3 linked regions of the Rhinolophus ferrumequinum genome follow. The main gene of each other region encodes a partner of the protein of the gene in region 2 in a complex. Links are inferred from orthologs where the notes say so. Each region holds a gene or a part of one and is shown on either strand. Other genes may lie near its edges. The genes, in order: RAB11A, RAB11FIP2 and RAB25.

Region 1 (10,063 bases), on a different chromosome or scaffold from region 2:
TGATAATATTTACGACCACTTGGTTAACGTCTGCTGAATTTTAAGTATCTCTAATACCTAATATGAAATTTGGTTCAATATATACCAAATATTAGACTCCTAAATGTCATAAAAACAGAATATACATATGAATTATCCATTATTTAATTAAAATTCCCACCTCTTTACCCTCATTTACTTTTATACACTCTCTCGCAAGCTAATACACCGGACTAAAATTTGATTCAACAAATCAATCATAGCACATCTGACCTACTACAAGTTATCACCTGAAGGAATAACTGATAATTTCCATACTATTTTAAATAAACAAACTTAGAAATATGTTTACTCTTTCAACTATATTCATAGTCCAATTTCACCAAAAGAATTGTTAAAATAAAATGCATTCAATAAGGCTTAAGTCTAGACATGTTTTTCCAGATTCAGCAGAATCTGAGTTGCTCAACCAACAGTTGTGAAAGAAAAAAACTAGCAAGATGCAAGACAGCAAAGTTCCTACGATCATTTCCACTGACAATCAGCTGACGGCTAATTACTACCGACCTTCAATGAGATTAAAAAGAAACTGGTATAGACAATATATCTGGATATTTTCGAAAATGTGACTTTGATTGTATTGGTGTCTACCACAGTATTTGTAAATAGGAACTATGATTGATGTTTGTTTCACATATGTGTCCCACAGGGCCTTAACCACACTGTTGGTAAATACTTGTAGAATTAAAGTACTTAAAAATAAAAAGTCAAGTTTCTTAAAATAAAATTAACTCCTACCTCCAAAGTCTCAATATTCAGCTTAACTAAAGGTTAATGTTCAAGAACAAATACATCATTTAGAATAACTGTCCTGCTCTCCCTATATTACATTTCCATTTGGACCACTCCATCTTATATGAATCAAAATATCCCTTCATTTTCAACTGGTTAGTTACGAACTACAAATTCCCTCAACTATTAACTTTGCTAGATAAGCCTTCTTCCAAATAGAGCTGCAGCTCATCTCAGTAAATAAATCTCTGTTGAATGAAATCATTTTAAAATAAAATTATTATTGCTTCATTTTTGTTTAATTTTAAATTATAATTCCATAAAGAAATTGGCTAAATAATCAGCCCTGAAGTAAAAAAAAAAAAAGAACAAAAAAGTGACACATCCTGTTAAGAGCTTTAAAAAAAGTGGAAGAAATCCTTCTCAGCAGAATTTTTAAACACCCTACCTTAAACAGGAAAATGTACAACAAAATGAAACCAATAACCCATGGAAATATAAAATACTTTAGAACTTCCTAGTTTTAAGTTTCTTATTATTTAATTGCTCTTATAAAGATTCATAGGTAAAAATAACTGACAAGAACCACAGTAACTTCTTTCACATTATTACCATTTATAGAGTATTCACAGAAGTTTAAAATTTTACAGCCAGTCTCATTTCATTCTCACAACAGTCCTGAGAGGTATGTCTTGTTTTCTTTTCATAGATGAGGGAACTGAGGCTCAAGAAAGTTAACTTTCTCAAGGTTACCAAGCAAATTTAAGACCTGAGTCAGGATTTGAATCCACGCCTGTGTGATTCCAAAGCCCTGTGCTCTCAATCATTGTTAGATAGTCTAAGCCCAAAATTAAGTTAAAATTCCTTAAGCCAATCCAGCATAACATTACTAGTGAAAAAATAAATGGCTTCTATAAGCAATATTTAAGCTCCCAACCAAACAGGAGAAATACTGATAGTCTCTTGTTCTAAATTAATTATTTCAAAGGCAGCTAGCGGCCCACTGCCACTGTACCTAAATAAAAAAAAAAAAAAAAAAAATTCTCCCTTTAATGGCTGAACCCCAGTCTCCAGGGTCTCACTTAAGTAACTTCACCAGACCTCAGATGACTTCAGCAAACAGTATGTAAACTAATGCACGTTTCTTTTTTGTATTTGTAAAATGCATTAAGTACCCTCTTCTCTGTAAATGACTTTCTCCCGGGGAAAGGGAGGATACTGAAGGTACTCACAACATATAATAGAATTTTCTGGCCCAGAGGAGTAAGTGGTGATAAGAATATGTCATCAGCTAGGTTGTCAAGATTTGCAAAGTATTGGTAAAGCAAAGAAATGTTACCGCCTTCGTTTAGTCATTCTGAGCACCCAATGGCAAAGTCAGAAACTGTCACCATGCTTAACACTCTTTTTAAACTCCACCCTCCACTGTAAAGCTTTAAAGCAATGGCTTCTTCCTCCCTGGTAATGATCTTTGTTCAGTACACCACTGATGGCTGCCCTCCTAATTCAGTAAGCAAAGAAAGAGCATCAGAGTGAGGGCGCATTCACCGAACAAAAAAGCTTTTAGTGTACTTTTTCTCAGGGAAAACTGTACCCCTTTATCTGTTGATTAAAAAAAACCAAAAACCACAAAAAACTATTTGGATTCTTTCCGGACTGCCCAATAAGCAATTCTTTCTATCCATTCCCCACCCTCTAACAGGTTTTACTCAAGGGCACTACGATTCTCTCTCATAAGAAACATTTGATTTCACCAAAGAGCACACAACCCCCGCCCCCAAACACACACACACCTTTTGAGAAAGGTATGGATCCAATTAGGACTCTTCCCTTCTGGTTCTACAAACACTAAAAGGCTGGACCCTCCCAGTATTGCTGCAGGAAGCAATCAGTCCAGAATGATAAAACGAGCTCGTATTTGTGCAGCGCACAGCCTTTCCTGCTCAGGAACTGGGCCTTCAGGTCTGGCAAGGATAACAGCCACCACCCATCCGCAACCCCTTCCCGCGAGCAGAGTCAGGAGTTACCCCGGGCCGGTGGCGCCGGGTAGGGAGGGTAGGAGAAAAAAAGGTTAGGAGGGAAATCACATCACTCTGCCGGGTCACTGCGACAAGTGCGTGCGTGGGTCACTGACAATCCCTCTGGCCCTACTCCCCACCCGTGGGGTCGCACGGGAGATGTGGGAGAGCTCTAAACTACTTGGGGAGGGAAGGCAGAGAAAGAGCTACCAATCCCCGGGACAGAACTGTGGGACGGGTGGGGGCCCCTGGCCCGCTCAGATTTTCACGAGGGCCTAGCCCCGGGGTGGAAGAAGATGGCCAGGAGAGCCGCGGGTCCGAGGGGACGGGGGGAGATAAGACCTGTAGTGGGAGTCTGCGCCGAAGGCAAGATGAGGAGCCAAGGAAGGGCTGGTCAGAGCGGTTCAGGAAGGGGAGTGAGTCCAGCAGGGTGGACACTGAGGGGGAGGGGGCGCCAAATCGGAATGATACATGGTGGGAGGGGTGACCCCTTTGAAGCGGCCCTAGAATCCCGGAAAGGAAGACGATGTGGGAGATGGGAGCCAGCCGAGAGAAGGACACACGGTGAGGGGCTATGAGGCCAGCGAAGGCCTTTGGGGAGGTCCCTCAAAGATCGGTGTGTGGCGGCGACTCCCTGTCTGAGGGGAGGAAAAGGGGCTGAGCCGCGAGACCGCGGAACAAACTGCACCGAGAGGGAAGGGCTAAGGAAGGCCGATTTCACACGGGGGTAGCCCCCGCGCGGGTCTCCCGGGAGTGTCTCGGGCCCCCGAACAAGACTCGGTGGAGAGGAGGGGAGCCCATGACCTCACCTTTGAAGAGGTAGTCGTACTCGTCGTCGCGGGTGCCCATTGCGCGGCCGAGGAGCGAAGGGGCGGGAGCAGCAGTGGTATCGGTGGGACTAGGGGGCGTCGCTGCAGGGGTAACCCGAGCGCGGATCTTCAGCTGCCTGACCGGGTGAAGAACCCCTCCCTGCTGCTACGCCACTTCCGGCGGGCCCCAGCCCCTTAGGGGAAGTGCTTCCGGGGGTGGGGGTGCCCTGCCCCTGAGCCTGCGAAGGGCGGTGTGCGCGGAAACGGCGTCCGTTTTCAAATTCTTACCTCCTCCCAAAGGTTCAGAGGACAATCTGAGGCTTTGCACTCCAAGCTGATCATAGTCCTAACAGCAGCTCACCACACTCTTGGTGGCCTCTCCCTCATTCCTCCGGCCGCCATCCCGGGGCTCTGAGGAGAGCGTCAACCCCGGCTCCAAATGGTCGGTTTGTGAATGGGGGCGGGGTTCACTAAGAATTAGAGAGCCCAAGGCGGCCCGCACACGTGTGGTGGTTCCATGGTGTAATGGTTAGCACTCTGGACTCTGAATCCAGCGATCCGAGTTCAAATCTCGGTGGAACCTATACCCTTCTCTTTTTTTCTCCCTGGCCAACGTTTTTCATTTTTCTGCTTAGTTGCTAAGTGATTGTTATACAACTATGGTATATATCGCCTTGAACTCAGCGGAGAGGGAATTTCACAAAATTTAACCTTTGCCTAGGAAGACCTCACAAATTTCCCCCTTCAATTCTGTACTTTCTGTTACCTGGGTGTCTCCTAAGGAGCCTCTTCACTTCTCCCCTTTTTTAACCTGGGTCCTCTGCCTCAAACCTAATTGAAAAGCTTCGATTAAACTTGATTCCTTTTGCTAGAATTTTCAACCTCCGATATCATGCAAGGGCAGGCGCTTTTCACTCACTCCTGTTCTCGGAAATCTCCAGATGCCATTCAGATAATTTCGCCCACCCGCCTCATCAAGATTCATCAAGAACTTCTTAAACCCCATTTGTCAACCTCTAAAGCAAACTCGTTTACATAATTATTTCATTTAACACGCAGAGCAAAGGATGGCAATTTTCATTTTAGCGGAAATGTGGATACTGAGACAAGTGATTTGCCCAAGATCATAGCAGCAGGGCCTCCCTGGATTTAAAGAGAGTTTTATTCCAAAAAGTTTTTCCTATTGCTTTGCCACACCCCCATCTCCTATATGCATACCTCAATTTACACTTGAGCAGGGGTGCCTGTTACAAGCAGAATGATGGCTCCCTAAAGATGTCCACTTCCCAATCCCTGGAAACTGTGACTATGTTCAGTTACATGGCAAATGGAAATTAATGTTGCAAATCAACTGATTTTAAAATAGGGAGATTATGCTGATTCTCCAGGTGGGCCTAATGTTGTCATAAGTGTCCTTAAAAGTGGAAAAGGGAGGCAGAGGAGGTCAGAGTGATGGCAGTGTGAAGGGACTTCTAAAAAAGAACATAAACAGAGTTCATGTTCAAAATGGTGTCCAAGCTGCAATCCCAGAGGAACTACCTTGCACACCTTACGCAAACCTTTGTGATGTTAAAACTGGGCAAAATAACCTTTGGACTGGACCTAAAGCAGCATTGTATTCCAAAAGAACTGTTTGCAAAACTAACAGGAAGCAGATATGATCACAGGACTGAAAATGAAGGATATTCTTTAGAATTAGCATCATCAGTATGTTAACTTATCTGTACATATATTCCTTCCTAAGGAAATTCCTTCCTTAGCTTAACACCCATAGAAATTCCTTCCTTCTATTCATGTAATGATTCCCCTTTCCTTTCTCATAAATACTCCTTGCTTTCATTTCCTAATCAGAACACTATTTGGGTTTCTCTTTCTGAACCAGTGTTTCCCAAATAGTTATTGTTTTGGATCTCAAATAAAGGCTTGTTGCCTCTCACTTTGCCCTTTTTTTTAGGTTAACAACTTTGTAAAAAAAAAAAAAAAAAAAAGAGGAGGAGGAAGAAGAAACAACAGGCAAAAGTGAGTGGAGTCACTTTTGCTAAGCCATGTCAACAAACCAAAACTTAACAAATATGCTAATTGCAGTTTCAGCCTCTCCCAGGCATAGATTTCTAAAAAGATTTTAATTAAAATATAGCTAGCATGCACTATTATATTAGTTTCAGGTATACACCAGAGTTATTCAAACCGGGAGTAGAATTTTTAACCAATCTGTCTGGCAGTCTGGAATTTCCTCATCAATACTGTGAGGTAATCTGCTTGATAAAAAAAAACGCCTGCCACTTCCTACCCAGAAGAATGTGACCTGGCCTAAAAATAATCCTTTCTTTTCTTGTGCTAATAACACCCCTGCCATACCTTTCTGCCTATAAAAGTCTTCCCATTTTATACAACCCAGTGGGACGCCTTTCTAGTTGCGAGATAAGATGCTGTCTGATTCATGAATTGCTTAATAAGGACAATTAGCTCTTCAAATTTACACCATGGAGTTTTGTTCTTTAACAGCCTCAGCCAGCCCTTGTGGCCTTGAACATGGAATAGAAGGGGGCCAGGAGCCTAGGAATGCAGAGGTTTCTAAAAGATGGAAAAGACAAGGAAATGGATTTTTCCCTAAGGGCCCCAGAGGGAACACCACCCTTGATTTTAGCTCAGTGTCACCAAGTGTGTGGTAATTTGTTACAGCAGCAATAGAAAACTAATACAGTACCATTGTCAGTGCTTTCTGTGACAGGATACAGCAATAGGTTTATCTAAGGCCTAGATACTGCCTGTGTAGGGGTGAACATTATCCACATTGGGGAAGAAGCACAGTATTCAAGCAGCCAAATATTATGTGTACTACAGATTATTTATAAGACACATTCGTGGCCCTACTCTGGTGGATACACTAGATGGGCTCAAGAAAAGGGGAGGAAATCAATAACGAGAGTTCTGGTGATACGCGCCACAGTTCAAAGAAACTGAGATAATTCGGAAGAACTCCCTGGAGGAGGAGAAACTAGCATTGACCCCTGAAGGAAGAAGCAGGGAAAGAAACTCATTTTGGGAAGTGAAGGAATTTAGATAAAAACAAGTTGAGCAAAGCCATTGATGCCAGAAGAATAATTACGAACTTTTCCCCTTAAGTCACAGTTTCTCAATGTTCTGTCAATAGTGTTCCTCAAAAGAAGGATTGCATGGTCAAATAAATTGAGAAATACACAGTCTCTCCCTGCCGCCTTAGAAGTTCCCTTAACACATTGGCATTTTAAACACTAGCTATTTCACTCTGAAGAAATCTTTTTTTAAACTGTTGAACACAACATTTACCAAATTCACCAGAATTCTCTTCCCATGGAACACCTGTTAGCACCAGGTTTGGGAAAGCCATCAAATGTTTGTGGACAGGGTTGATTGAAGTAAACCCGGTCTTCGGAAAAGTAAGCTGGCTGTGAGCTGCAGGAAAACGGTAAAGAAAGACTGAAAGTATGAGTATTAGTTAGAAAGCTATTAGAATTAACCAGGCCCAAACTAATAGAAATAGGGTATAGCTATGGGAATAGAGAAGAAAAAGAAAAGTCAAAGGCTGTTGTGGAAAAAATGGTGAGTGGATTCCAAGGACAAAAAAGAAAATTAGGGTTTTACTTTCTTGGGTTTTTTTGGGAGAAGGGGTAGGAATTGCTAGATGTCTTTTTTTAACCTCTCAAGAAATATAAGAATTTAATGTAAATGATTAATACCAAATTATAGAGTAAATCCTTCAATTCCTTCTCCACGTCCATTCCTATTCCAACCCCAGAGATAAAACTGCTTTCTTTAAATAATATAATCATGCTCCAACCACATAACTATGTTTGGGTCAACAACAGACCGTAAGATTAGACTGTATAGCCTAGGTGTGTAGTAAGCTATACCATCTAGGTTTCTGTAAGTGCACTCTGCACAACAACAAAATCGCCTCATGATGCACTGAGCATAAAATTAGGTTATGTGAACTGTTCTTCATCTTGAAAAATCTTTCCACATTCGTCCATGCTGAGTTATTTGCTGCATAGTTTTCCTTAGCAAGCATGTACCATAGTTTGTCTAACCATTCTCATTCCCTTACCTGTGGATATGGTAAATACTAAGGGTTCACTAAATAAAAACCTATTCCTAAGTCATTTCTTCCTTGCCCACTTCCCCATTAGAGGCTGGAAAAGCCAAATGTTCATTTTCCCAGCTATGCTGAAATATTTCACATACAAATATAAAAATACACTAGCAATATTTTTAATTTTTGCCCCAGGTTTGCCCAATAATTCCCACTTCTCTGATACCTAGTGAGTATAAACTTTTTCTCTTATGTTTATTAGCCATTTATATTTCCTCTGAATTGCCTGTCAATATCCTTGTTCATTTTCTTGTTGGATTATGTATCTTATTGACGTGAATCTTATTGACGTGGATCTCTTCATATTCTTACCTTTTAATCCTTTCCTGGTTATAGCATAAATATTTTCTCCAACTCTATCACCTGATTTTTAAATTTTATTAATGATGCTTTTTTTCTGTACTGAAGTTTTAAATTTTTATTTAATCAAATTTCAGTCGTTTCTTTTTTCTTTTTATAATTTTTTTTTCAATTACAGTTGACATACAATATTATATCATTTTCAGGTGTACAGCATAGTGATTAGACATTTATATAATTTATGAAGTGATCACCCCAATAAATCTAGTACCCATCTGACACCATACATAGGCATTACAATATTATTGACTATATTCCTTAGGTTATACCCTACATCCCCATGACTATTTTGTAACTACCAATTTGTACTTCTTAATCCCTTCAACCTTTTCACCCATCCCCCTAACTCCCCTCCTACCTAGCAACCATCAAAATGTTCTCTGTATCTGTGAGTTTCTGTTTTGTTATTTTGTTCTTTAGATTCCACATGTAAATGAGATCATATGGCATTTGTCTTTTTCTGTCTGACTTACTCCAGTCAGCACAGTACCCTCTGGGTCCATCCATGTTGCAGATGGCAAATTTCATTCTTTTTTATGGCTGAGTAATATTCCATTGTATATATGTACCACCTCCTCTTCATTCATCCATCGACAGACTCCCAGGTTGTCTCCACATGTTGGCTATTGTAAATAATGCTGCAATGAACATATGGATGCACATGTCCTTTCGAAGTAGTGTTTTGGGTTTCTTCCAATAAATAACCAGAAGTAGTCTTACTGGGTCCTTCTTTGTCTCTAGTTATAGCTTTTGTTTTAAAGTCTGTTTTGTCTGGTATAAGTATTGCTACCCCAACTTTTTTATTTTTTTCATTTTCATGAAATATTATCTTTTTCCATCCCTTTACTTTTAGTCTATGTGTGTCTTTTGATCTGAAGTAAGTTTCTTGTAGACAGCATATATATGTAGGGGTCTTGTTTTCTTATCCATTCAGCCACAGTATCTCTCTTTTTCTCAATTTCAGGTGTAAAAAACAACATAGTGATTAAACATTTATACACATGTTAAACATTTAAACACAAAGTGATAACCCCAATAAGTTTATTACCCATTTAATACTGTGCATAGTTATTACAATATTATTGACTATATTCCCTATACTGCATTTTACATCCCTGTGACTACAATTATCAATCCCTTCACTTTTAATCCCTTCACCTTTCTCACCCAGCCCCTCAAACACTCTCCCATCTAGTAACCATCAGTTTGTTCTCTGTATCTATGAGTCTGTTTCTGTTTAGTTTGTCCATTTATTTTGTTCTTAATATGGTCATATGGTATTTGTCTTCCTCAGTCTGACTTATTTCACTTTCCGTAATACCCTCTAGGTCATTCATTTTGTCACAAAGGGTAAGATTTCATTCTTTTTATGGCAGAGTAATATTCCACAGTATATACATGTACCACATCTTCTTTATCCAATTGTCAGTTGATGGGCATTTTGTATGTTTCCATATCTTGGCTATTGTAAATAGTGCTGCAGTGAACATAGAGGTGCATGTATCTTTTCAAATTAGTGTTTTGAATTTCTTTGGATAAATACCCAGGAGTGGAATTGCTGAGTCATAAGGTAATTCTATTTTTAATTTTTTGAGATACCTCCATACCGTTTTCCATAGTAGCTGCACCAATTTGCAATCCTACCAACAATGTACAAGGGTTCCCTTTTCTGCACATTCTCGCCAACACTTGTTTTTTCATTTATTGATGATGGCCATTCTGACTAGTGTGAGGTGATATCTCATTGTGGTTTTAATTTACATTTCTCTGTTGATTAGTGATGTTGAACATCTTTTCATGTCTACTGGCCAGATGTATATCCTCTTTGGAGAAATGTCTGTTCAGGTCCTCTGCCCATTTTTTAATTGGATTGTTTGGGTTTTTTTGGTGTTGTATGAGTTGTATGAGTTTTTTATAGATTTTAAATATTAATCCCTTAACAGATGTATCATTGGCAAATACCTTCTCCCATT
Region 2 (9,713 bases):
GGTGAGGGTAATCAAATTCATAGAATTTTAGAAATAAGACCAAATAAGTGATCTACTTTAACCTCCTTATTTCATAGATGAGGAAATTGAAGCAGAGAATAAGTAACTTCCCAATGTCAGATTAAAGTCAATAAAGAAAATGTCCAAAGTTGATGAATAACATCGGCACAAAAACAGAAGTCCTTTCATATCTGATGAACCATATATGTCAATAAGATTAATCGCATAGCTGATCATATATTACATAAATAACACTGTATTTATCAGGAGACATGACAGCCAAAGAGGAAGACGATGCACATTTCTATTGCTAGAGTATAAGCTACATAAAGTTAGTTTGCCTTGCACTAGATAAATGTTTATTGAATTATTATTTCTAGAACTGCATTCTTAAAACAACCACGCTGTAATATACCGTGCACGCACACTGCATTGTTTTGTTTTTTTGGTAGGGAACACTAAAGATTGAGCTTGAAAGAATGAAGCAAGTCAGGGTTTGAATACAATCTGTAAATGTAAATACAATATTTTCCATTCTGCCCCCACCAAAAAAAAAACTTGTGAAGAACTTCAACAAATATACTAATTTAACATATAGGCATGACAAATAACCTTCGCTGCTTTATTTTGAAAATGATATAACAAGGAAGTCTTATTGAGACCTTCAAAAAGCATCCCAGAGATAAGAAGTGTTTTCCCAGGCTTCAAAAAGATAACATGAAGACACAGCATTTGGGACTTAGTGGATTAATGCTGATTTTTTTCACCCCTTGAGTGTTGGTTTTAAACTGTGTATGGCCTCTGTTCAATTTTTAGTGGGCACAGGTCCATGTTCAAAAACCACCACACATGTGGGAACTATTCCCAAGCAATTGGTGCTGTGTGGTCAGAAATAGGACAAGATTGGCAGTAAGGGTGCCAGAGGCCAGGACGCAGGTGCACTGCAGAGGAGCACACAAAAGTCCTAAAATCTGCATGTGTTTGAGTCATACCTAACTCTAGGGACTCTGATTGTTATTACTTTTCATGAGTATTTAAAAAAAAAAAAATCAACATCACCCACTTCTGTTATAAAAAAAAAATCAAATAGATATTACATAGCAGCATGAACAATTTTACCATTCTATTATTAAACGTATTATTTCCTTAAATCTCGTGCCAGAACCAACCCAGACACCCATTAAAGTGGGAGATACAGAAGTTCTCTTTCTATGCCCCACTCAAAGGATTCAGGCTCAGAACCCTTTTTCCCTTCTCCTTAAAAGAAAAGAAAAAAAAAGTCATTTAATGTTAAGGTATAAAAATAAGTAATAGTTTTAGCTGTCACACTTCTCCTATCATGACACAACTGGAAGACAAGCTGTAAATACTTGTCTTCAGTGTCAAGAGTAAAAAGTGTCACACCCAGCAGTTTCATGGGACTTCTAAATCAGCTGGTAACCTTCATCACTCACTTGAGTTTTCTAAAAAGCACTTGGGAATCTGCTGACAAGGTTCAGCCATGTGCAGAATATTAAATATCTTTCTTGCAATACACCGGTGGCTCAAATCTGTGTCTTGCTGTGCCACATGTACAGCTGTGCTGGAAAAGGAAACTATTAAATATATTAAAAAACCAGAAATATTAGCAATAAAGATATCTCATCAAATATGTGGTCCCCATTTATCCACAAAGAAAGAAAACGTGAGGGATTTAATAACATATGAAAATCACTTTGCATGCAATAACCTCGCAGCCCTGTTGATAACATTTTAAAGCATTTCCCTCCCCAAACGTTCTACGCAATTTTATATAGTAGCCAATAGAGAATTTCCACAAGGAGACTACAGTATTATTGTTTACAGCTAAATGTATTGTAATTGTGATGCTGCTGAAGATAAGGAGTAAAGGAAGAAGAAACTTGAAAATCTTATTTCATCCTCAGAATCTCTGGGTTCACAGGTAGGCCTACTTTTACTTGGAAAATTTACATTTCAGAGAAGGCCTATAATACATCCTTCATTAACATGGAAAGTACTGTAAATGCAGTATGAAATTTGAAGTTACAGTGTACTTACAAGTGTACATTCAAAGTACTTAGAATATTATATAGTGCCATCCAAAATTGGTAATTTGAAACAAATTATTTGATAATTATCCACTTTTCAATTTAATTCTGATGAACTCCTCAGAGGAAACTGAAAGCTAGTTTGTAGTTATCAAACAGTTTTATAAAAATCATTGATATATAGTCAACTTTACACTTTTTAAAACTTTTTTCTCTCCTTTTTTCTTAAAATATTTTCACCTCTTTAACTAGTCTCAGTATTTACCATTGTTCATCTACCATCCCTGGTATGTCTCTCTCTACCCTTTTACCCTACACATATTAAACCTTAGGTAAAGATCTGATTCAAAACCTTTTTAAAATAAAAATAAAAACTCCAATCAAGAGAAACTTGCAGGAAGACAGATATGAATAGAAAAGAACAAGAAATGGTTGTTTTAAAATACAAGAAATCAACATAAACTTCAAGAAAGTTATCATTATAGAAAAGTTTCTAAAGGGGTAAATAAATTTCAGTTATGACCGAAAGAAACACCAAAGTTATTCTGGAAATTTGAATTCCTCTTATAAATTCCACCTATATTTTTTTCTCTTATTAATTCCATCAATTAAAATTATGTTCTCTCAGACTAGAAACATATTATAAGTTTAAAGAAAGGGTGAATACACCTATCTCTGAAAATATACTATTTTTCAACTTAAGACATAATATCTTAGTGTTAAGTTATATTATGGCTTTATTAAATTAGAATATATCTATACGAAACTTGAAAGTCATAATAAAAAGGTCATGTTTTCCTTGAAGACATCATTAAATCATTTCATCACAAGAGTTTAATCACTGTTTCAATATGACAGCATTTAATGTGGTCTAAACACACTGGCTATACAGAACTAATTCTGAAGTAATACACCAGCTCCAATATATTGTAAATTCAAAGGAAAATGTTAGTGTGTTCAAGGTGAGGATGTCTGTTCATACTTTTAAAACTTTTTTCTTTGAACAGCTTTAGACTCCATCAAGATGTACTGACCCTGAAAAATGGTTGAGCTCAAATAAAGGCCAACTGTGTTTATGATGCTAAAAGGAAATACTGAGTTCTAAATTTGACTATTTTTTGAGAGCTTCAGAGTTACACACACACACACACAAACACACACACACACGGATTATATTGGCAGACTTAGTTTTCTGCTATTTCATCTCCTGGAAAACTGTAATGTTTAAAGATCATAAGAAATTACACACGTTTTAGTTGGTCAACACTGTGATCCAATCCTCATATAAGTAGAAAACGATGTTAATTTACTTAAAATCCCGTGCAAAATATTCAATTACATAAGATGATTACCTCAAACCACTGAGAGTAAGGAATTATTAATGACTCCATTTAAAAAATATTTCTTCACAAGGGCTATTTTTACTTCCGATTCACGCAAATGATGGTGCTTAAAACTGGGTCATATTTCAGTCCAAAAACCAACGCCCCAGGTATACAAAAAACTTCCAAGAACAGAAAATCCATAGAGAAGATATCGTTAGACTCCCCCAAATTCAAAATAAATTATACAACTTACTCTGTTTTCCTTCTTTGTTTGTCCTCAAAGATGTCATTGAGATTGATTGCCACCTGCCCTAAAAACTTATCCAGACCCACCAGGGACCTGTGCATAACTATCAGGAAAAGAATGTATTTCTCTGGATTCCCCTGCATGAGCAATCCAGGTAGCTCGAAGGAGGCCTCCTCCTTCCAGACTGGCTCAAGGGTTTTCTCAGCGACAGAGGTGGAGTACTTTTCCTTGCCCAGCTGAATTATGGTGTATGTGTCATTGGTGCCACTTTTGCCTTTTGGCTTAAGATCTTTGGCTTGAAGCACTGTGACCTGCACGTGGGTTGGAAACCACTTTTGGGCTTGCTCGGACAGCATCATTCTGTCCTTTTTCTCTGCCCCGAGTTCCCAAGCGCAGGCAGCGCCCCTCCGGCAGGGAGAGCCTAAAGCCGAATCACTGCATCCTAAGGGCACTTAACAGAGCCAGGCAAACTGACAGCTGCCCAGCTTCCCCGTGGCTGATGTCAAAGCGCCTCAACGGGGCAGCTCGGGGACATGGCTGCCCTGGGGTGGGCCCCTTTCCTCAGGAGCAGCACAGGGGCCCACCATCACCTGGCCGCGCCGTCTCGGCCCCTGCGCGGACCCCCGCCTCGCGTCCGCACCTTCACGCTCCGCCGGCCCTCGGGACAAGCCCTCGGCGGCGGCGGGCGGCTCCCCGGCCTACCGGCCGCTCAGGCCTGGCCGCCAGGGCTCGGGCGGAGGGCTGCGGAGGTGGCAGGGCGCCCCCTCCCTGCAGGCTACAGCTCGCTCGCCCCAATTCGCAGCCCCCGGCCCCCCGCCCGCCTCCTCTCGGCCGGGCCGCCCTCGCCGCCTCCGTGCCTCCCGCCCGCCTCACGCTAGCCCGCGGGGCCTGGCCTGGGCTCCTCCTCCCGACCCCGGTAATACGAACCGCCGGCGGCTCGCGCGGCCTCGCTCGCTCTCGCAAACCTCTCCCTCCTCCTCCTCCTCCTCCTCCTCCTCCCTCTTGCCTCAGCTCCGCCTCTCGGGCGGGGGCGGGGGCGGGGGCGGGTCGCCTGGGGGTGGAGTGGGACGTGGGGCAGGGAAGCCGGCCGCTCTGGCGCCAGCAGGCCGCGGGCTGCCGGGCGGCGGGCACCTGGCTCGGCCTCGCCCGGCCCGCAGCTCCTAGCACCGGGCGGGCGGTGGCGGCGGCGGCACTTCCGGGTTGCTTTTCTCCATGTTGATCTCGGGAACGCGACGGGGCGGGGCCGGGCGGGGCCGCGGGGGTTAGGGGTCAGCGCCTCCCTGGTTGCTGTGGCGACCGGGGGCGCGCGACGCGAGCTCCAGGCCTACGGCGGGGTGTTCCGGGCAGTTGGCGTTGGCTGCTCCGGCCTGGCACAGCCCGGGGTCCGGGGACGGTGGGGCCTAAACCCGCCGGCAGTAGGAGGAAGGGGGCGAATACGAGGGGGGCTGGGGACCGCTCCTGAGAGGTGTCAGTTAAGACCCGGGGCCTGGCCAATCTGGGGAAAGACCCGATTTCAGTCTTTGGAAGCCGACTTTGCTGTACCCTGGATGCCCAGTGCCTGGCACAAAGCAGGCTTTCGAGAAATGGTGGTCGAGTGAATCAGTCCCCTTCATTGACCGAAAACACAGTTTCCCTCAACTCTTTTCCTTTTGATAAAAGAGAAGGCTGTTAATTGACTGGAATCACACCACACACAAACCCAAGAAAGAGAGGGAAGCAGATAAAAGATTCCGACAGTAACAAGAATTAATAAAGATGGCAGGAGGCACTGGGCTGGAGTCCTAAGATCTGTATCTAACCCCATGTCTGCCACCATTAGTCTGTATGACCTTGGTCAAGTCATTTTCCTTCCCTGAGCCTCAGTTTCATCACGGGTAAGAAAACTTGTTTAAGACCCATCACAACTCTATGGACTCCACGTCAAAAGGAACCTTTGGGGTATTGCAGTCTGGAAGACTGTCCAACGCGGAAGCCAAACCCAGAGATCATTCTGGTCATCACCAACTAAGAAAAACAGCCTCCTTCACCAAAAGCACAGACTTACTTGCTCCTGAGGGCAAGGCCTGATGGACCCCTTGGAATGAAAGGGGCTTTGTTAAGAGAAGAAAATGGGGAGATGTTAATACTGTGCTTTTTCCGCACTAGCCTGATCTAGTGGGAAACATGCATAGCGGCTGATGAGTCGGGAGCCTTGCTTGATGCCTCAGCTCTGCCAGAAATTCAGTACATAGCTTGCGATGGGCGCTTAGCCTCCGGAGGCAAGGAATTTAGATTCTGGGAACCACCGTTCCCTTGTCCATAAACTGTAGATAGAGTACCTATTAGAGAGTTGGGAGGCGTATTATGAGAATGTACATTTCCTAGCAGTGTCTCCCTTTGCCCATTTCTCAATTATAAGACTTACATACCACCTTTATTGTTTTTATTTCTGTTCATATTTTATTTTCTCAAGGAAATTCTAAATTCTTTGGACTGCCGTAGGGATCATCACTTCACAGTGCCCAGCGTGCAGTAGGCACACAATTTATTGACTGACTTAATGTCTTTTCTCCCTTTACAGAACTAATTTTGAGAGTAAAACAATATGATAAATGTGCATACACTTTTCCAATTTAAAATGGCGATAAAAGTGTAAGGTATTATGATTATTATTTTCAGGCAAGGTGTAAAACTTTTCCATTTGAGGAGGACATTATGTTCTCCATGTTTTTTAATGTTTACAGGATAATAGCAGTAGCACTTAAAAACTAAGAGTCTTTTCTTTAAATATTTTTGAATGGAGGTATATTGAATGGGCCCAGTATATTTGTGTCAAAAAAGCAACCATAGAGTTGAAAAACCTTGGGCAGGGGTTGAGGGGAGCAAAGAGGATAACATTATCCATTATTTTAATCTTATAGAAGGAAGATACTTTTCTTGACTCCAAAGGATAACACCACAAACCTCAAAGACCACCCAGATTCCAGCACATTCTTTGAAGGACCCACTGACACTTGTTAGTGTCTACAGATTTCCTTTTACTTATTGGGAACTCCAACTTTTTAATGCTGCTTACACACAGTGGCTTGTGTGAGTTCTGCATGAAGTGGGCACTTCAAAAGAGACTAGATTAATTTACCACCAAGATCTTCAAGGAAGCAAACTACAGATGAATCTTGAATAATCCTGAGCTAGATACCATCCAGAATGAAAAGACCCAGTTTTAGGTCATTCTACTGGAATTTTACTATAAAAGAGGCAGAAATTTTTATCTTCGAGAGACATTGTATGAAAAGGCCATGTGTGGGAAACAGAGAAAAATCACTCTGCTGTGAATATAGCATCTGGATCCCAGAGTGGGCAGTTGTCAACTTTAAAGAAAAATATTCTTTAGGAACTATTAATTTTTAAAGGGTGCTTTAGAATAGCCACTGGTGGAATTTCAACCAGGATCCCCAGAGACAAAACATTTGATACTTAAAACTTGTAAAAACAAAATAAGCATCATGAAAACAAATTTAGTTATGTTGCAAATTTTTATAAATTGCATTTTTAAAAGTCTTCATGTCTCTATTAAAGATTGTAATTACATAAACATGGGTAATTAATTATAATAGTGAATGTGTGTTTCTAAAGAGCTCAAATTGTTTGGCAAGCTTTATTAATGATTATAAACTTGTTTACAAGTATCATTTCACTCACCTCTGAAATACAGCCATCTCGGGGATGGAAGTTGGCAGGGCTAGTTCACAACAATGCAATAACATACTCCAACAAAATTCGGGGAATACTCTTAAGGCAGGAGCTAAACAACTGAAATTATTAACATCTCTTCCTGTAGCATCTAAATTTCATTTGAGTTTTCCCAAAACCTGGTTAGAGCCAAATTTTTTTAATTTTACTATTTGGCAAGATCAGGAGTTATGACTTAATGTTTGTAAGCCAGAATAAGAAAATAGCATATTTTTGCCCAAAGCAAGCATATAAACAAAAAAAAAGATAAAATGAGCTACATAGACTTCACAATTGCATTGTGAAAGTGAAGTGATTTCCTATAAGAAGTGTTTTTTTCTTTTTTAATCCAATTAAGAGAGTAAAAATATATCAGTTGGGTCACATATATGGTTCGCTCACAGTGAAAAATCATGGCAATTACATAAGATCTGGGATCAAAGTGGTTCTGCAAAAATGTTTATTGTCGTACAGTTTTAAAAATTCTTCTTACTAATTTTAAGATATACGTGGACAGTAATCTAAAAACGGAAGAAGGATTGCATACTTAAGGACAACAAATCAGAATCAAAGACACTTTTTTTATTCTAAGACTAATGACATTTTCCAAATGTTTAGTATAATTCTAAATTCGAGAGCTTGGAGAAATAATACATCTTAAAGGAGGAAAATGCTGAAATTTCTAATTTGAAACTGTTACAGTGACTGATGTAATGAATAAGAACAATTTGACCAGAAGGTAAAATAGTCAATATTTAGTCTCCAATGGTGTAGGACTACACAGATGAAAATATTTATTAAGCACTGCACCTTTCAGTAAAGTCCCATAGGAGACTTATTCCAAGCACTATGAAATAATATTTCCCTTTGAGCATCAGCAGCTCTAAAATTGCCACTTGCAAATCTATTGTAGGACAATTATAAAGCTCTTAGTGTTTAAATAACCCACTGGGTCAAGAGTAGTTATAATGCACCCACATACGATATGGATCAGATATTAATTATTTTCCAGTTGGAGTTTCCAAAGTTCCATTACAATCTTCATACTTTAGACACACACAAACACACACACACACATCAAATATATATACAACTCAAATATATATAAAATTTGTACACATATATATGGCAAAACTTCAGAGAACCCAGATTAATCTCCACATAACCAGCTAAAAAGTAAAAAACTATTTGGCAAATGGATTTAAAACTGTAATTGTAATAAAGTAGTATTCGGGGAGTTTTGGTAATTGTTCTGTTTTTATCACTGGGCTGATGCATTTGTCTTCTGGGACTGGGCAGTGTATGGACACAGTTTGTAATGCATGAACAGTGTGGTATGTCATACTATAAAGAGCTTCAGTCAGCAGCCTGGGACTTAATCCCAAGTCTGTCTATTATTACTAGCTACATATCTTTAGGGAAGTAATTTTCCTTCTTTGGAACTCTGTTTCTTCATCTGTAAAATAAGAGTCTCTAATAGGAACCACTAAAGCATTCTCTAACATTTAATAATTCTAAGTAGTATATCCACAACACAAAAAAGCAAATTGCATTATAATTATGTAATTGAATTTGGTCAATATATTAAAGCAGATTCCTTTTTTATGTAACTTATTAATGAAGGCTTCTCTAATTCAGGAGAAAAAAATCCTCAAGAATGTCCTGAGAGCTCTTTCTCCCAAATGAAAATGATCATTACGGAAAGGAAGTAAATATATCTTTTATTAACAGGCCTTGTGTGAGGAAATTGACCCTAACAGCTCAAGATTAGGAAGAAATTACAAATAGGTGCAAGAGGTTTTGAAAAGCTTCAAACTTTTCACTTGTAGTAATAAACATAACTTTGATTCATATTCTTTGTAGCTTTTTCAAACTATGAAGACATGTTGAGGAAGGTAAGAATTTATGTAGCAGAATACATTTTGCACAGAAGAATATTTTGTGTGGATGTCTTTTAATTTCCTCTTTACGGTATCATAGTATTATGTCATGCAATTTTTGTTTCTTCAACAAAATCAACACAGATTAACAATGCATGGACCGTGAATTGATTTACTTTAACTGTCAGACGGTATTGGGTCAGATGAATAAGCCCCATTTGATCTTTTTTCTCCTTCCAAAGGACGTTTAAGTTGTTTCCAGTTTTTCACCATCATAAACAATGCTGCAGAGATACCCATACAGGTCTCCTATGCACATGTGCAGATAAATTTTTATTTTTTTATTTTTTGGGTTTTTTTGGTAATCATGCCTCTTTTTGACAACTGACAATGAAATTATTGGGAGTTTGTAAATGATAGCGTGGAAAACCCATGGGCCTGAGCATCAGAAGGCCTGATTGCTAATCCTGCCTGGCTCTGCAACTAAGCAGTTGTGGACCTG
Region 3 (9,383 bases), on a different chromosome or scaffold from region 2:
GACCCCTTAAGAGCCCCTGGCAGGCGCTGCCCCCACCACACACACACAGACCCCCTTCTCACATGTGGCCTGACACTGGCTGGGAGACACTCTCCTGTGGTGTCCTCTGAGTCTTTGTAAAATGCAGCAGAGGGGTCCAGCCCTTCACCTTGGTGGTTAGACCGTGAGGGTTGCAGTGCTTTGTGAGGGTGCTCTCAGCCCCTGGACCTGCCCCATCCCAGCCCCACCTGGATTCACGGGCTTGGGCCTCGTGACGGCAGCCCCTCACGGCCATGGTACCCAGAGGATGGCACAAAATGCCCAGTGTGAGGCACCTGCGCCTTTCTGGGCACACAGCAGAGGCTGTGGTGGCAATGACTCTTTTGGGTCCCAGTGGTCAGGATCACTAGACCGGGCCTCAGACTCTGTGTGGCTCACAGTACTGGTGTGTCCTCAGCCAGGGCTGTGGCGACCTGCGGTCCCTGCAGGGTGCACATGGCTGTGTGCCCTGCTTCCTGTGCCCCACCTGTCCTCTGGAGGTGTCCCCTGACCTCCCCAGCACCCCCAGCCCGGGGCTCACGCCGAGGTGATGGCTCGGTACCGCTCCAGGCCAGCCGTGTCCCAGATCTGAGCCTTGATGGCGGCGGTACCCAACATGACAGTGCGCGTGGAGAACTCCACCCCGATGGTGGTGCGGCTGTCGTGGCTGAACTCATTGCGCGTGAAGCGGGACAGCAGGTTGGTCTTGCCCACGCCAGACTCTCCGATCAGCACCACTGAAGGAATGGAGAGAGAAGGGCTGAGTGGGCAGAGGGCCCAAGCCTTCCTGAGCCCCGGGGTCTGCCCACCAGCAAAGGGGAGCTGAGTTCAGAAGACCGAGGAGGGAGCTGAGGCTCCTGACCGCTGGGCTTGCTGAGTCCATCGAGGCAGAAGGGCTGGGAGCTGGACGCAGCTAAGGGTCTGGTGCTTTCAAGTTCCCAGGCCCGTCCATTGAGACAAGGCTGCAGTCAGCCTGGGTCCGGGCTGAATGATGTCTGGGGCCTGCTCGTGGGTGTTACATGGGGACGTTAGCAGGGCTGTGACTGCACAGGGATGGCAGGCCTGGGGGAGGGTGCACATTCCCGGCTAGGGGACACGTTGTTGTGCTTGTTTCTCTGTACATGAGCTGGGAGGATAAGTGAGAGGCTGGGGTGTGTGTTTGCACAGGAGCAGAGGTGTGACTAGGAATGTGGGTGAGGAGAAAGTTTGGCACATGGCACGTCCGGAGGTGAATGTGTAAGAAGCTATGATCCAGTTGTCCCCTAGCAGGGTCCGTCTTGCAAGGTGAAGACTCTGGGGCTGTGTGTGTCCCTCAGCAAGTTATTTAACCTCTCTGACCTTTTTCATCCGAAAAACGGGAATAACACTAGTACCTGTCTTGTGGGTTGTTGCAAGAAGTAAATGAGACATTGCCAGGATGTGGTGAGTGTGCAAAACCGTTACTGCCATGACTGTGGTTGGTGGGTCAGTGCGGTTACCCTCAGGTTTTCAGGGGCAGGGAGCCGCTGGGGTCCAGTGGCGGCTGACGTAAGCATGACCAACACACTGCCCGGTACTGAGCTGAGCAGCAGGACGAGAGGAAGTCAGTCATCGGGGTGGTTCTGGAAAGGCATGCTGGTGCCCAGGGACTGGTTCCCTCTCAGCCTCTGACTAGCTATGTGACCTTGAGCAAGTGGCTCACCTTTTCTGGGTTTGTTTCCTTGTTTATAAAACCTAGAAATGCACCCGCCTCCAGCTTAAGGCATTTCTCATTTGTGTAAGGCAGGAAAGAGCTGGGAACAGTATGGCTGTGTGTGTGTGTGTGTGTGTGTGTGTGTGTGTGTGTGTGTGTGTGTGTGTGTGTTCCTGCCTCTCCCCTGCAGGGAAGCTCATCCCCACTCACCCTGCTGGGGGGTGGAGGCCTAGCCTTGTCCTCAGGCTCCAGAGGCTCGGGCCTTTGGTGTCAGACAGACCAGGGCTTGTGATGCCTTGTGACCTTTTGTAAGCTACATACCCTGTCTCTCATCTGCGTCTGTGAAATGGAGATCTAATTCTTAACATTTATCTCAGAGGCTTTCCACATATGAAGTCACTTCATCCTCACAACAGTGCCACAGGCAAGTGCCATTAGTTCCACCGTTGCATTTTTTACAGACAAAGGAAGGAGGCGCTTGGGGGGTTAAATGACTTGAGCAAGATAACATAGCTAGTGCGTAAAAACACAGGTGTGCTGCCCAGATGTGTCCTCCAGGAAGGACTTGCCCCAGCCCAGGGAGTGCAGTCAGCAGGCAGCCTCCAGCTGCCCGCTCCGCTCCTCCAGCAGCTGCCTCCTCCTGCGTGGGGCAGACAGCTGCCTCACCCGAGGTCACGCGCCCTGGGCAGCCTGCATCCAGGGCCCCAGCAAGGCAAAGGTATTACGGGGCTCCCGGCCCATTGGCTAAGGCTTGGTGACCCTGTCTTGCGTTTTCACTTCCCTCTCTGCCCAATCCTGTTCCCTCTCCCTTCCTTTCACTGGTGTTGGTCCATAATAAGCATCTTGCATCCTAAACTTCTGGAGACCCCGCAACCTGCAGTAGGTATTAAGCGGCAGGGCTGAAATCGGAAGGCAGTCTGCCTCCTGACCATTACGCTTTCAAAATGAAAGAGAACTTTGGGGGCTGTTGTGGTGATTAACGAGCCAGCGGCTAGCACACAGTAAGGGTTCAATAAACAGTAGTTACTCCTGTGTTTCCCCAAAAATAAGACCTAGCTGGACAATCACTTCTACTGTATCTTTTGGAGCAAACATTGATATAAAACCTGGTGTTATACTATATTTATTGCATTATATTATTATACATTATATTACATTGCATTATATTAATTATATTACATTATTACAAGACCCGGTCTTACAGTAAAATAAGACCGGGTCTTATATTAACGTTTGCTCCAAAAGACACATTAGAGCTGATTGTCCCGCTAGGTCTTACTTTCGGGGAAACACGGTAGCAGTGTGATCGTCCCAGACTATTGCTAACCTTTACCCTGTCTCCCTTCCTGGGAAAGATGCTGGGAGTACAGGTTCCCCAACCTCAAGTTGCCTGAGTCCCAAGTGAGGGCGGGGCTGAGGCTGGGAGAGGCAGTGGGGTGGGGTGGCTGGACAGGGAACCACAGCCCCGCCAGCCCACCCTGCCCTGAAGGGGGTGAGGAGGTGGGGGTGGCGAACAACGGGGGAGGGGAACAGGAGGACGGGACACAAACACGGGCTGAGATAAAGAGCAGGAAAGACACGTGCACACTTTCAGGGACAGCCACGCTGAACCCAGTGCCTGGCTTTACATGCCAAGGGACAGACCGAGGAGGCCACGGCCCCAGGAGCCCTCAGAGTCCTGTTAGCCCCTGCTCAATGCACAACATCTTCCCTATATCTCCACCTAGCCCCATGACAGACAGAGCGGGACCCTCCTTTGTCCCCTTTTCTGTATATCTGCCCAGAAAAATGACTTTCTTCCCCATAAGTCTGCCTGAGGGAAGTCCTCTCTGAAGTCTGACCTCCGCCCCTTCTGCTGCAGTGGCTGACTATTCCTAGGGATGTGGCATTAGGAACGGGCAGAGGAGCCTCACTGGCACTCTTAGGGACCGAGGAACACATTATTGACACAGTAGAGCATTCGGGCCGCCCCAGACACCAGACCTTCCCAGCTCCCTGCAGCTTTCTTTCTTATCCAAATGATGAGCCCAGGGGGTGGGGGGGCGGGGGCAAGAGGGTGGATTCCTGGTTAGAGATTAAAACCAAACAAAATAGGAGGCTTTGCCTCTGGCTCTGTTGGTCTCTTTCTGGGTTTCTCAGGCCTCCTCTTTCCGAACCCCAACTCACCCTTGAAGACAAAGTTATAATCTTCCTCGGTCCCGTTCCCCATCTCGGCTCCACATAAGAGGGTACAAGTGTCTTCGGGGCACAGGTGACTGTCTCCGCGTTGGCTCAGCACCTTCAACCTTCAGCTCTTAAGAGACCTGGGTCCACCCCTCCTCTCATTGGGGGTAAAAGAATTTCCGGCCGGCCAGAGGGACTGAGGGCCTGTGTCAGGCCAGGCAAGGCCTGGGGACGCTCCGCTCTGGCAGGTAGGGGTGCTGTAAGGAAGCTGAGAGGACGGAAGCTGAGAACAGGAAGAGCAGGGCACTGGAGACCTGGGGCCCAGGTGGGTGGAGACGGTGACGTCAGACAGGTTAGACAGGTTGGGTGTCTGCTCTCCGCCTAGGCTCCCGCAATGAGGTGAGCAGGCTCCAGGGGGTGGTAGTGGGGAAGCTGGGGCAGACGGGACCTTCCGAGAGACAGCTGAGGACCGAGTGCCTGGCGCTAGGCTCCTAGCACCTGCAGCCCAGGGGGGCCCAGCCGCCAGTAAGTGACAAGGCCCCTCAAGGAGCAGAAGCTGGCTTGGCCTCCTGCTTTTCCTTTAGAGCCTCTGGTGGGGGCCCCAGGGGAGAGGCTGATGGGGTGGCAGTCACCTATCTGTGCGCAGAGCTCTGGGAGTTGCATCTTAGGCCCGGCAATTCCTGCCCCTCCCAGACAGCTCTGGGCCTGGGAGGGGCAGCATTTCTCATACTGGGTGGAGCTGGAACTTGCTACCTATAGGCTTCCCTGCGATGGGTCCCTTTCTATAGCACTGGGAAAGGGGCTGGTAGCTTCCCGCCCACACCTGCTCTAAGGACACAGGTAGGAGGAGACCTGGACAGAAACAGCCAGGTGGGGTGAGGGGTGCAAGCGTAGGGCCAGGGTGAGGACACGAAGGCCTGAGAGGTCTTCTGGTTTCTCCAGATCCCTGCCCAGGACCTGAGGCCTCACCGGAAAGCAATGGTGTCTGCAGAGGGCTTCGAGACCTGGAGCTGCGCGTCAGAATGTGAAGGCCTTGGAGAGGAAAGGGGTGGCCCCCTCCCAACCCCAAGAGTAGGAAAGGCAACCCCGCCAAAGTCGGGACCTACGGACACTGCACTCCCTGGCTCTATATTCTCTTTGTTCAACATGACGCCCACTGGCCCCGTTCCTCGGAGCTCACTTCCAAGGTTTTGCCAACCAGGTGGGTGAGACTCTGAGTGGCGAGGGCCAGGTGAGGCCACTCCACTGGAGATTCTGGTGGGGGCGCAGGACATGAAGAACCCGTAAGCCAGTCCTGCTCCTTTCCATCCCCTGACTCCTCCCAGCCAAGAAAGCAACCAAGACGTAAGACAGGACTGAAATTTATTCTTGGAAAAAACAAAGTCCCTCCCCTCCCCCCACACACCAGGAAGGATTCCCCAGGGGGCCCTGCCCCTCCAATGGTCATCTCTCTTGCCTGACCCCAGCTTCCACCAGTGCCCCTTACGACGCTGCTACCTGGGTAAGAGGTTCTTCCAGGTACTGCACCAAGGCTTGGGCCTGCGGGAGGGGGAGGAAAAGCGTCCCACATGTGGCCTGCCACGAAAGGGACCCCAAATCCAGGTCGACTCCCCATACCGAGCACCCAGCCCCCAGCCCCAGTGGACAGGGACTGGGTGACATGAGGACCCAGGAAGGCGGTGGGGACGGGAGTGGACCCTGACGGAGCACAGGGGCCGGGCCCAGGTGGCGGAGCAACGAGCACACATACCTTGGCCTTGAGCATCCCGAAGCCGACGGTCTCCTTGGCATACATACACAGCAGTAGGTTGGCCACTCGCGTGATGGCCACACGGCCCTCCTGGTGGGGGTGACATCGTGGGATGGGAGGCCCTGCTTGGCACCCTAAGCCCCCTTTCCCCACGGGCTCCTCGTGAGACAGACTGTATCTTCCTTCCACGCCCCGGGCAGGGTTGGAGCTTCAGCTGGGGGCTTTGGCCACAGCCCTGGACATGGGGTCCTGTGCCCAGATTCCAGCCTCAGCACAGCCACGAACCAAGTCACCCCAGAAAACTCAATCTCCCAGAAACTCGGTTCTCTTTCTGTAACCCCTACCTCATCCCAGTTGCTGAGGGTACTAGCACACGGGAAGGAATTCCGGGCTCTTCTAATGGGCTATGTTATTATTATGGGTTCACCTCCAAGACACTATAAGAGGCTTGAGAGCAGAAACCCCACTCCTAGTTCTCTTTTCCAATGGCAATGTGTTTCAAACTGCACACCCGACGTCCGGGTTAGGAGATTAATTAAGAAGGTTGATTAGCATCGAAAGAAAAAAGGAAGGAAAAGAAGAGAAATGAAGAGAAATGCATTGCATGTAGTCAGGGAACTTGTTTGAGCGAGTGATTGTTTGCACGGGGCTCCAGCATCAAATGTGTTTCTTACAGCTGGGCTGTGGTCAAATGTTTGAAAGCTATTGCCCTATAGCACTAGGTCTGAGCTGGGCACCCAGGAGTCATCGGCTGAACTGGAATGCATCCTTGGCTGGAATGGGGGCCAGGAAGTGGTAGGTAGCTGAGTACAGTGGAAACCCTTCATTCTTGCGGCCTTCTCAATTCGGTTCAGCAAACTTTCACTAGGTATCCAGTGTGTGCTAGGAACCATGTACTGCCTGTCTGGCATCATCTATCATCCTCCCCCCATTCTCATGCCACTCCAGCCACATCTCCCTTGTCGATCTGTGACCAGGCACCTTTCTGCCTCAGGGCCTTTGCACTTGCTGTTCTCTCCATCAGAAATGTTTATGCCCCAGACAGCCACATGGCTTGCCAACTTCTTTCAAATCTGTGATGAAATGTCACCTGTTCAGTGAGATTATCCCTGGCGCATGCCACCCTTATCTCAATTCCTTGCTTTATTTTTCTCCATAGCGTTTTTAGAAATCTAACATACTATTTTTTTAACTTACATATTTTTTCCTTCCTCAAGGGATTAGACAAGGGTCTGGAGACTCTTATAGGCCTGTGAGTCAGTGACTCTGGCATGACAGCACTTTGTGTGTACCTCACTCTACAGTTTACATCCACTCTGTTAGTTGATCTTCACCACAGCCCCTTGAGGTGGGGACCGGGGTTTATTGTTTCCACCTCAGAGAGGAGATAAGGAAGCTCAGAGAGGTTAAGTAACTTACCCAAGGTTCCACAGACGGTAAGTGGCTGGCTGAGACCAGAACCCCAGGCAGACCCGGGGTCCAGGGCCCCTTCCTCACCACTGTGATGCACAGGGTTCTGCCTATGATAAATGGTGCTGCGGGCCAACTCTTAGCAATCTTCCCGAGATCCTGCCCCTCCAACCATCCGGGACCGGGTCCAGGTCGCCCCGGGGATCCCTTTGGGGGACAGAGGAAGTGGCTTCCCACTCCATACCATGCAGTCCATGAGGATGAATTTGAGATTGTCTTCATTAAACGCTTGGTTCCCGTTCCGGTCGTAGGCGGCCCAGATGTTACTGGCGATGGCGGCGGTAACCCGGGCGTCAGTATCCCCGTAACCAGAGTAAGCCAGCAGAGATCCCTCGTTATTCAGCAGCCTGGCGAGGAACCGGAAGGGGCAGCGACGTGCTCAGGATGGGGAGTAAGAGTCCTGGGTTCCCATCCCAGCTCCCGCCACTGGCGCTTCTAGAAAGCAAGGGTCTAGGTTGAGTGTGTCCTAGAAGGTGCCCAGAGCACCCAGGCCGTCGCTTTCCCCTTTCGAGAGGGGCCCTCCAAGGCGGCTGCCCACTCTGCCTCCTCCCTTCCCGGAGATGTTTCCCCACCCCTCCCTCGGAGAGCCGCGCGCTGCCCGACTCCAGTGCTCGTCGCTCGGGTCCTCGGTCCGCACTCACAGGGTGCTCTGGACACCTCCAGTGTTGGCTTGGCTCAGCACCTGGGTCAAAGCCTTGGGACGTAGCATGCCTGCAGCTCCCAAACCTGGGTTTTTGCACCCAGACCTCCGAACTGCCTCCTGCGGGCCTCCGCCAGCCCTTTCCGGTAGTTCAGCTGACCTGCTCCGGAACGCCCTGGGAGTTGTAGTTTCTCCGCCTGGTTTTGTAGTTTTGACTCAACCCCGCTTTACCGCGGAGGGCACTGGGAATTGTAGTTCCTTGAGGCCTCGTGAGGCATCCTGGGAACGATAGTTCGCCTTTCCACTGAGACCACGCGGTTGTGGGGGAAAAGAGCGGGAGTGAAAGGACATTGGCGGTATTGGAAGGACATTTAACCCCCTCGGGGAGAGAAAAGTCATGTCCGCTTGACAATCCACGACTCAGTAATTAAAAAAATAAAAAAATAAAATCCCTGTGTTTGTTAGGCACACCTTTGGTTGCTTTTCAAAGCAATTTTCTACATTATGCACAATTCTGGGTGATGAAGCCATAGATACTATTGAGGAAACTAAGGCTCGGGAAGGCCATGCAGGCAAAACCCAGGTCGCTGGAACAGTACCTAATAGAGTTCATTCAGGCCACGATCCTCGGGGGAATGAAATCAATTCTAGAGATGAGATTTTAGGTGGACGTCCAGAAGTGGGAAAATTCATCCTACCAGTCGGCAGAGGCCCCAGGCCCGAGAAGGATTTGGGCTTCTCAATAAAAGACCAGCTATCGCAGGGGACGGAGATAAAGCGGCGACACAGAGTCCTTTGTCCCGCAGCGGGAGTGACCCGTGGTGGGGGCAGGAGCTGTTTTGGGTCGGAGGGGACCTCGGCTCAGCTCTGGCCCGCTCGGATGGGCTGTGGTCTCCCGTGGGGCGCTCGCCCCTCACCCCAGCAGTGAGGGACTCGCCCCGCCCCCGTCCCGAGCGCCCCAGGGGCCGCCGCCCAGCGAGGCCCAGACCAGGCTGCGGGACCCCAGGCTCGGCCCTGGGCGGACACTGCTGCAGTGGCCCCCCCAGTCCGCCCGGGGCGCTGTGGCTGCGGCTGGTCCGGAGGGGGCGGTGAAGCCTTGGGGAGGGGAGGGGAGGAGAGGGGAGTGTTGGAGGCGCCGGAGCCTAGCCGGGCCGGCGGGGCGGGCGGGGAGGAGGAGGAGCCGGAGCGGGCTGGCGGGCGGCCGGGTGGCGGCGGCGGCATGGCGGAGCCGAGCGGGGCTGAGACGAGGCCCCCCATTCGGGTCACCGTCAAGACCCCCAAGGACAAGGAGGAAATTGTGATCTGCGATCGAGCCTCGGTCAAGGAGGTACTACGGTCGTCGGGGGGAGCGCGGAGGAGGGGTCCGCGAAGAGAGGGGGGTGGCTCGGGACTGCCGGGCGCAAAGAAGGGCCTGGGAGAGGAGGGCGGGGGCCCAGACGGCACTCGGAGGAGCGAGAAGGGAGGAGAGGCGGGTCAGGGGCGTCCTGCGAGGGTAAGTTGGAGGAGCATGGCACGCGTGTTGGGGAAGGGAGGCCGGGGTTTGCCTTGTGGCCTGGACTGGGGGCGTGGTGGAGAGAGGGGAGGGGGACACCTTGCGCAGGGAAGGGGAAGGACCCTGGGCTTGCGCCCCGGTTACTTATGGGGGTTCGGGGCGCCGAGGCAAAATGGGG

What was found.
Region 1: the proteins of RAB11FIP2 (region 2) and RAB11A are in contact, whole or in part, in a crystal structure (PDB 2GZD), measured with the Homo sapiens proteins. The link is inferred for Rhinolophus ferrumequinum from reciprocal best matches to the Homo sapiens genes RAB11FIP2 and RAB11A. Residues at the interface, in NP_055719.1 of Homo sapiens: Glu478, Ile481, Asp482, Asn483, Leu485, Val486, Met489, Glu490, Pro493, Ser494, Leu496, Arg497, Val498; in NP_004654.1 of Homo sapiens: Arg33, Ile44, Gly45, Val46, Glu47, Phe48, Ala49, Thr50, Lys61, Trp65, Arg72, Arg74, Ala75, Ile76, Ala79, Tyr80, Arg82.
Region 3: the proteins of RAB11FIP2 (region 2) and RAB25 are in contact, whole or in part, in a crystal structure (PDB 3TSO), measured with the Homo sapiens proteins. The link is inferred for Rhinolophus ferrumequinum from reciprocal best matches to the Homo sapiens genes RAB11FIP2 and RAB25. Residues at the interface, in NP_055719.1 of Homo sapiens: Arg475, Glu478, Ile481, Asp482, Asn483, Leu485, Val486, Met489, Pro493, Ser494, Leu496, Arg497, Val498, Pro499; in NP_065120.2 of Homo sapiens: Arg34, Ile45, Gly46, Val47, Glu48, Phe49, Ser50, Thr51, Lys62, Trp66, Arg73, Arg75, Ala76, Ile77, Ala80, Tyr81.

Annotation. Positions count from the first base shown.
Region 1 is NC_046289.1:45,040,224-45,050,286, forward strand, and holds the start of RAB11A (ras-related protein Rab-11A), read right to left. Parts: upstream 3,791-10,063; 5' UTR 3,639-3,790; coding exon 3,599-3,638; intron 1-3,598. UniProt on the Homo sapiens protein: The small GTPases Rab are key regulators of intracellular membrane trafficking, from the formation of transport vesicles to their fusion with membranes.
Region 2 is NC_046299.1:10,943,561-10,953,273, reverse strand, and holds the start of RAB11FIP2 (rab11 family-interacting protein 2), read right to left. Parts: upstream 4,339-9,713; 5' UTR 3,980-4,338; coding exon 3,627-3,979; intron 1-3,626. UniProt on the Homo sapiens protein: A Rab11 effector binding preferentially phosphatidylinositol 3,4,5-trisphosphate (PtdInsP3) and phosphatidic acid (PA) and acting in the regulation of the transport of vesicles from the endosomal recycling compartment (ERC) to the plasma membrane.
Region 3 is NC_046305.1:672,713-682,095, reverse strand, and holds the start of RAB25 (ras-related protein Rab-25), read right to left. Parts: upstream 4,154-9,383; 5' UTR 3,900-4,153; coding exon 3,857-3,899; intron 756-3,856; coding exon 560-755; intron 1-559. Other genes in the region: ragulator complex protein LAMTOR2, read right to left, coding at 5,336-5,392, 5,604-5,693, 7,258-7,420, 7,715-7,782; UBQLN4 (ubiquilin-4), read left to right, coding at 8,933-9,040. UniProt on the Homo sapiens protein: The small GTPases Rab are key regulators of intracellular membrane trafficking, from the formation of transport vesicles to their fusion with membranes.